2 linked regions of the Caenorhabditis elegans genome follow. The protein of the gene in region 2 purifies or fractionates together with the protein of the main gene of each other region. This does not show direct contact. Each region holds a gene or a part of one and is shown on either strand. Other genes may lie near its edges.

Region 1 (3,417 bases), on a different chromosome or scaffold from region 2:
AAACGATTTGAACTTATTAAATCTTTAGAAGTCGTTCCATTCCGTAATGCTGTACACAGTTCTCTTCTACGTGGTGGTGGTGGTGTTCGAAATCTGAATGCTATTGAACAACTTGTTGAGGTTCAAAGGAGTCTGATTAGTGCATATGAAACTTCACCTCCTACTGATGCTGAAGTTCAGAAAATTCTTGATATTGAATCCAGTGAGGATGTTTCCGAGGAGATCAGAGAAATGTGGAAATCACAAATTGGGGAACACCGATGTGGACGGTTGGCTGCAATTTCGATGGTTCAATTTGCAGAAAAAAGTCCGCAAGATCTGAGAATGCTAATTTCGGAGAATACAATGAGGATTGAAGGAGGAAAATGGCAACTGATTCCAATGTGGATGAGGTTTTTTTGCAAACGTAAAGATGTTCTGATGATTTTTTAAATTCAGGTGCTGTGACATTGCCGCAGAATTGTTCAGAGTAATACCTGGTCGTGATGAGTTGGATCGTTTGATTGTAGTTCTCTTTTCCACGGAGACTCCATTTCCAGCTGTATTCGCATGTATTGTACACCTTTTCCATCGAACATGGCGTGAGATGCAGGCAAAAGGAGGTGAAATGGAGAAAGTTGCGTGTGTTGTACTGGAACAGTTACGGCATGTGCTGAAAAGACGGGAAATACAAGATGTAGAAGAACTATCTGCGGATTTGGAGACTTTTTCGTATAGGGCAATGCAAGAAATTTGGAGAGAGGAACAATTGGGAAAGGAAAATATTCAATTACATAGTGAAGCTGTGATGTAAGTCTGAAAATTCCAATAACTTATTCGTATACATATTTTCAGACAACTAAAATCGAAATTGCGGCCAAAAATGGAGGAATTGGTTCGAATAAATCATCTAAACTATTTGAAGTTAGGCGCCGTTTTTCGAAAACCACAGAAAAGTAAATCCCTCGCAAAGCTCGCCTTCTGGCATTGGAAGCTCGATGCATCGGAGAAAATGCTCACTATAACTGGATGTGATGGTGAGAACTATGTGGAAGGTGTGCAGAGAGATGATATTCGGCAAGGTTGGGGGAATATTGAATTAGTTCTCAAATAATAAATTAATTTATTTTCAGTTTGGATCAAAGATATTGCTGATGTAACAAATAATGATGAGATTGATAGAAAAGCAAGCTCATCTCGATTCACTTCTTCTCCATCTACACAAATGTTAAGAGGGATTCGTGTACAATTAAAAACAACAAATGATATGAAAGAAGGCGAAGTTTTAATGGCATTGACATCCGATGAAACTCAATCTGTTATATGGCTTGAAGGTCTTGCTGAATTGATTGGGAGCAAGGCAGTTAAAAGGTATCTAGACATTGGTTACTGTAGTTACAGTAACCTGAAGAATAGGAAGCCCCGAAAATACCAATTGAAATATTTTCAGTGAAACCGATGCAATGGTTGAACGAATGCTGAAAATGGAGCTACGAGTTCGCCTTCTCAATGTGAAACTCACGAACCCCGAGGAGAAACCAGAAATTCCACCGATCCCTGACGATATCAAAAGCTTTATTTCAAAGTTTTAATCATATTCAAGCTTTATCATTCTTACGTGCATTTTACCATATTGAAAGGCAAAACATTTCCATGTGCATAATAAATTTTGTAATTTATGCCTATTACTGTGTATTTAACTTAATTTGAATAACGAGCCATTAACTACAGGCCACTAACAGTTTTCTGAATCTCTTGAAAACAAATTTTTGACCAACATTTTCAGATGAGTGCTATAAAAGAGGTAAAATCAGAGCTCAGGCAGTTTATGAAGACATTGCTCGGAAAAATTTCGAAAGAAGAAACTCAACGTCAAACAGAGGCGGTTTTTGAAAAAATAATTGAATCGAAATGGTTTCAAGAGAGCAAGAGATTGTCAGTTTATGTTAGTACATCGGGAGAAATACAAACTGATTCGATTATTCAAAAAGCGTTGGAAATGGGAAAAGAAGTTTTCATTCCACAGGTAAAATTTATTTTGAAACAGATGCGCAATAGATGTTAAGATGTAGGCATGTAGGTAGGCACATAGGCAGGCAGAAATAAAGCAGGTAGGCCGACAAGAAGTAGGCAGATATGAGCTATGAATAAAGGCAGGCAGGCACGTAGCCAGGCAGAACTAAGGCACTTGCGAGGTAGGCGTAAAGTAGGCCCCTAGACATGAAGGCTGTAATCGTTTGTAGTAGGCAGGCAATTAGTACCTAGGCAGATATTATATATGAATCCAGGGAGACAGGCACGTACAGCAAGTATAATTTATTGAAGTCACAAATGTAAAAATTTCAGTTCACGAAGGGCTCAACTGCAATGGATATGGTTCGAGTTCCGGATCAAACTGCTTTTGACAATCTTCCTTCAACACTTTGGGGAATCAGACAGCCAGAACCGAAATGGAAATGGCAAAGCTATCATGAAACAGGTGTGACTGCTTTTTAATAATATAACTCCAATTTATAAGTACTTACAGGACCACTGGATTTGATCCTTGCACCCGGCGTTGCCTTCTCACCATATGGACTTCGTTGTGGTCATGGAAAAGGATATTACGATCGCTTCTTCTCCACTCATCACAAACATTTTCCAGAAAACTCCCCAAAAAAGATAGGATTGGCTCTTCGTGAGCAAATTATTGGTACAATTCCTATTTCTGAAACTGATGTTGAACTTGATGAGGTTATCTATGAAGGAGAAACTATTATTTTTGATACTATTTAAGGCTTCACACTCTAAATAATATTCCCGATTGTGATATTGAGATTTTTTTTTAAATTTCTCTCGCCAATTTATAAGTGATTTTTCAGACATTCCTCAAATGGTTTTGTGATACAATTTCTTGCATTTGTTAACTGAATAAACTTTTTTGAACTACAGTTATATATAATTTTTTCATAGATTATTCAGTCATTAGTTAGAAGCATTCTAGCCTTCCGAGGTGTTTCAATTTTAGGTCCCACCACGAAAACTTGTGGAGATGTTCTGAAATGCCCCATAGAACTGCATAGCATTGTCCCAAAAGCCTGTAAATATATCTGAAAACTTGCTCACACAAAACGAAAGGATTCAAAGGCCTGAAGACATTAATTAGCAAAAATTAGATACATTCAATGGTTTCACTAATATCACACAGTTCAGATAGACCGAGATGAGGACTGATGTAGTTAAATCGATATATGATAGAAGCCCTGTAATTTACATGAAGAGCAACTACACGAAACTGAACAAAAATATTCATTTAAAGTCAATACATAGTAATCATTGTTCACTCTCAAACTTGTTGAACACGAGGTCAATTTTGGTCTCCCGATCCGCACTGCAAATATTATTATTTCAAAAAGGTTATCATGATCAACATACCTTTGCTTTTTCTCCCTTGCTTGA
Region 2 (4,628 bases):
CATTTCCCCTGTGACTTGTGCGTTTCTCAGATTTTGGCATAAAAACTGCATTTATTCACATTTTCAGTCTTAAATTAGGCTGAAAATGTGAATAAATACCGTATTTCTGCCAACAATTTGACAATAGAGCACATTTGTCACTCGGAGATGCGGAAGCTATGCCCAAATTTTCATTTTTAAGCCAAAAATTTGGATTTTCACAAATTTTCAGTAGAAAATTCGAATTCTCCATCGATTTCTACCCTAGAACATCCTTCAATAGGCTTCTAGCTCGAATTTTGTTTTCTGGGGTACGGTAGCCCCAAAAGTACGCAAACACCGAGGGCCTCACGACAAAATGCACAACTTTCTTAATTCTTGCGGCTAAGCTCTGAAAAACAGGTTTTCGATGTAAAAAATGGCGAGAAACTCGATTTTTCACAAGAAAAACGCTGAAAATGTTGAAATTTTCAGATTTAATCACCGTAATCGATCTCCTCCATCACTTTCCTCTCGAACATCACGTCATCGGTCCCCGGAACGCCGGCGGGATAGATCACGATCCAGAAGTCTGACATATTCACCAATTGATCGAAAATCCCGAACAAATAGTGATAAATATGATAAGAAACGGGCGAAAAAGAGCAACAGACGGGATAGATCAAGGTTCGGTGATGAAAAATTTGAATTTTTTGAATATACCGCCAAAAAATATTCAAAAATTTGAATTTTTTGAATTTTCCGCCAAAAAATGATCAAAAATTTGAATTTTTGAATTTCCCGCCAAAAAATGATCAAAAATTTGAATTTTTGAATTTCCCGCCAAAAAATGATCAAAAATTTGAATTTTTGAATTTTCCGCCAAAAAATATCCAAAATTTAAATTTTCCGCCGAAAAAAAAACCGATATTTTTTCAGTTCTTCATCATCCGGTTCAACTTCTCCAATTCGACGCGAAAAACGCGAAAAATCCAGGAAATAAATGCATTTTTATTTATTTTTATATTTTTATTCAAATTTAATTTATTATTTTATTCGAAAAATCGATATTTTTTCTGAAAAAATCGATATTTTTCTGAAAAATCGATAATTTTCTGAAAAAAAAAATCGATATTTTTTCTGAAAAATCGATAATTTTCTAAAAAAAATCGAAATTTTTCTGAAAAATCGATAATTTTCTGAAAAAATCGATAATTTTCCAAAAAAAAAATCGATATTTTTTTTGAAAAATCGATATTTTTCCAAAAAAATCGATATTTTTCTGAAAAAATCGATAATTTTCTGAAAAAAATTGATAATTTTCTGAAAAAAATCGATATTTTCTGAAAAAATCGATAATTTTTCTGAAAAAATCGATAATTTTCTCTAAAAATCGATATTTTTCTGAAAAAATCGATAATTTCTGTGGTTTTCAATCAATACTTGTTTCAATTGTGCTTCTTTTTTTTGTAATTCAAAATTAAATTTTTTTTTCTCCGAATTTTTCCAATTTTTTCAGTTTTTTTTTGTTGTTGATTCTCCCTGACTTTGCAATATTTTTTTTTGTTTTACAAAATTATTGATTTTTTCAGAATTTTTTTAAGAAATTTTTTTTCAGCCGTACAATGCCACGTGGCATTGTGCTCACCAACAGTAAACCCGTCGAGGGAATGGTTTACCAAATGGCATTGGTTTTTGATCAAAATTATGAGGTAAAAAACCAGAAAATTCGCAAAATTTCGGTGTTTGCGTACTTTTGGAGCTACAGTACCCCCGAAATTCGAAGAAATTTGAGTGAAAATTTGAATTTCTTTGAAAAATTGGAGCATTTTGAGGAGTTTTGCGCAATTTTCCGGCCTGTAAACCGAAAATTGCCGATTTTTGTGCAAATTGTCGTGAAATCTAGTGTTTTTGTAGTGTTTGCGTACTTTTGGGGCTACAGTACCCCCGAAATTTGTAATTTGAGTGAAAAATCGATTTTTTTTTTTAATTTTTTGAGCATTTTCCTGATTTTTCAGAGGTTTTCCGACCTTTAAACCGAAAATTTCCGATTTTTGTGCAAATTGTCGTGAAATCCAGTGTTTTGGTGGTTTTTGCGTACTTCTGGGCCTGAGATTTTCAGTAAAAACTCGACTTTTTTTTTCGAAAATTGAAAATTTTGCATAATTTTATAATTTTTTTTCAGGAAAACTCGAAAACTAGACATTTTTACGATTTTTCAGTGCTAAATTCGAATTCAGAGCACCAATTTACCCCCATTTTGCATATTTTCACAAAATTTCGGAAAACTGCATTTTGTCGTGGGATGCTCGATGTTTGCGTACTTTTGGCGCTACCGTACCCCGGGAAATTCGAAATTTCGATTTTCCCGATTTTTTAGATATTTTACGCAATTTCCCGACCTTTAAACCGAAAATTTCCGATTTTTGTGCAAATTGTCGTAAAATCTAAAAAAAAATTTCGAAAATTTGCAAGTTTTAACCTAAAACTGCTGGAATTTACTGTTTTTTTCGAAATTATTGTAAAAATTTGGGAATTATCCTCTGAAAAATGGCTCAAAACCGAATTTTTGAGATTTCAAGCTAATTTTTCCGAAAAACTTTTGTTTTCCGAGGTTTTTAACTGGAATTTTGGAAATTTTTGGAAAAAAATACGATTTTTCATCAAAATTTCACGATTTTCGAATTTTTCGCGTTTTCCTAGGCTTCTAGCTCAAATTTGGATTTCCCGGGGTACTGTAGCGCCAAAAGTACGCAAACACCGAGCATCCCACGACAAAATGCACAGTTTTTTGAAAATTTGCGAAAATATGCAAAATAGGGGTAAATTGGTGCTCTGAATTCGAATTTAGCAGTGAAAAATCGTAAAAATTCCGAGTTTTCGAGTTTTTCTATAAAATTTGTAAAATTATATGCACAAATTTTCAATTTTTGAAAAAAAAAAGGTTTTCAGTTCGATTTTCGAATTCCCCAGCCAATTTTACCCCTAAATCGTGTTTTCCCAGCTTTCTATCGCGAAATTTCAATTTTCCGGGTTACTGTAGCCCCAAAAGTACGCAAACACCGAGGATCCCACGACAAATTACACAGTTTCTTAAAATCGAGCGAAACTGTGCAAAATAGGAGTAAAAAAGTGCTCTGAATGCGAATTTCGCAGTGAAAATGCACAAAAATGAGTAGTTTTCAGGCTTCTGGCCTAATTCTGGCCCGAAAAAAACGAAAATTTTCACGCTTTTCAGACCGTAAAGCAGTTTAAAATGATTCCAGTGGTTACACAACGCACAAAAACGAAACAAGTCTCAAATGTGTACAGGTAATCGGAAAAAAAACCGGAAAAAATCGATAATTAAGCGGAAAATGACATTTTCAGTGGAAATATGCGCCTCGAAAAATCAATGCAAATCGACGAGACTCTTGTATTCGGTCAAACAATTGACTGGGAACCAACTGATGATGAAGGAATGTCTGTTGAGGTGAAAATGGAAGAAATTCTGGATTTTTCAGTGAAAATTTGGAGAAAAACGAGTGAAAACCCGCGTTTTTGCGGTGAAAATTCGAAAAAAAAACCGAGTTTTTCGATTTTTTCACTGAAATTTTGGAAAAAATCTAAGAAAAATGACTAAAACTCATCAATTTCTATGAAATTCTGGATTTTTCAGTGAAAATCCCGTTTTTGCGGTGAAAATATCAGAAAAAAACAGTTTTTTTTGAATTTTTTGAATTTCCCGCCAAAAAAATATTCAAAAATTTGAATTTTCCGCTAAAAAATATTTAAAAATTTGAATTTTTTGAATTTTCCGCCAAAAAATATTCAAAATTTTGAATTTTTTGAATTTCCCGCCAAAAAATATTTAACAATTTGAATTTTTTGAATTTCCCGCCAAAAAATATTTAAAAATTTGAATTTTTTGAATTTTCCGCCAAATAATATTCAAAAATTCGCTTTTTTCACTGAAATTTTGAAAAAAGTCTTTTAAAAATTCGTGAAAAATTAAATTTTTCATTGAAAAACCTGAAAAACTACCAAATTTTTCCACTTTTTCGTCGAAAAATGACTAGACACTGAATAATTTTTACATTTTCCACTGAAAATTTGAAAAAAAATCCACGAAATTCCGAATTTTGATGCAAAAATCCGTTAAAAAACTGCAAATTTTTGCAAATTTCATGCAGAAAATTCGAAAAAATCCCCAATTTTCATCCTAAAATTCCATTTTTTTTGCAGATTGTGAGAAAATACAAACGAATCCGCCCGGCCTATGAATCTCGAATTTTCGACGGAGAAACACAGCTTCTACTGCCTGGAATTATGTCCAGAAATCGAGAAGTTCTTTGGATGTGTGATATTTGGCCACAACTCGAAATTAGTACGGGTTTTTCACTGAAAACCCGCCGCGAAAAATGGCTCAAATTCATGGATTTTTCAAAAAATCCCACTGAAAATTCAATTTCCCCCCAAAAAACCTCGAAAATTCGAATTCTCCACGTCTCCAGCTTTCAAATGACCCCTGACATATTCCATGCAATTGCCCATATTCCATGCAATTTGCCCCACCGACACAGCTGAAATCGGTGCTACAGTAACCCGCGTGGCGGGACCCGAAATTTTCAAATTGCGCGGAATATGGGCATGTTGGGGGTCATTTGAAAGCTGGAGACTTGGAGAAATCG

Evidence for each region. The genes of interacting proteins can lie anywhere in the genome.
Region 1: the proteins of rexd-1 (region 2) and Y106G6E.4 fractionate together in Caenorhabditis elegans (co-fractionation; one large-scale study listed by BioGRID). This does not show direct contact.

What each region holds. Positions count from the first base shown.
Region 1 is NC_003279.8:10,221,127-10,224,543, reverse strand, and holds Y106G6E.4 (putative 5-formyltetrahydrofolate cyclo-ligase), read left to right. Parts: upstream 1-1,765; coding exon 1,766-2,005; intron 2,006-2,325; coding exon 2,326-2,458; intron 2,459-2,506; coding exon 2,507-2,754; 3' UTR 2,755-2,902; downstream 2,903-3,417. Other genes in the region: ced-12 (Cell death abnormality protein 12), read left to right, coding at 1-392, 439-789, 835-1,061, 1,113-1,350, 1,430-1,571. UniProt on the Caenorhabditis elegans protein: Contributes to tetrahydrofolate metabolism. Helps regulate carbon flow through the folate-dependent one-carbon metabolic network that supplies carbon for the biosynthesis of purines, thymidine and amino acids.
Region 2 is NC_003281.10:1,832,937-1,837,564, forward strand, and holds the start of rexd-1 (Minor tail protein), read left to right. Parts: upstream 1-1,576; 5' UTR 1,577-1,583; coding exon 1,584-1,670; intron 1,671-3,196; coding exon 3,197-3,270; intron 3,271-3,327; coding exon 3,328-3,430; intron 3,431-4,182; coding exon 4,183-4,324; intron 4,325-4,628. Other genes in the region: Y39A3CL.7 (uncharacterized protein), read left to right, coding at 454-645, 898-961.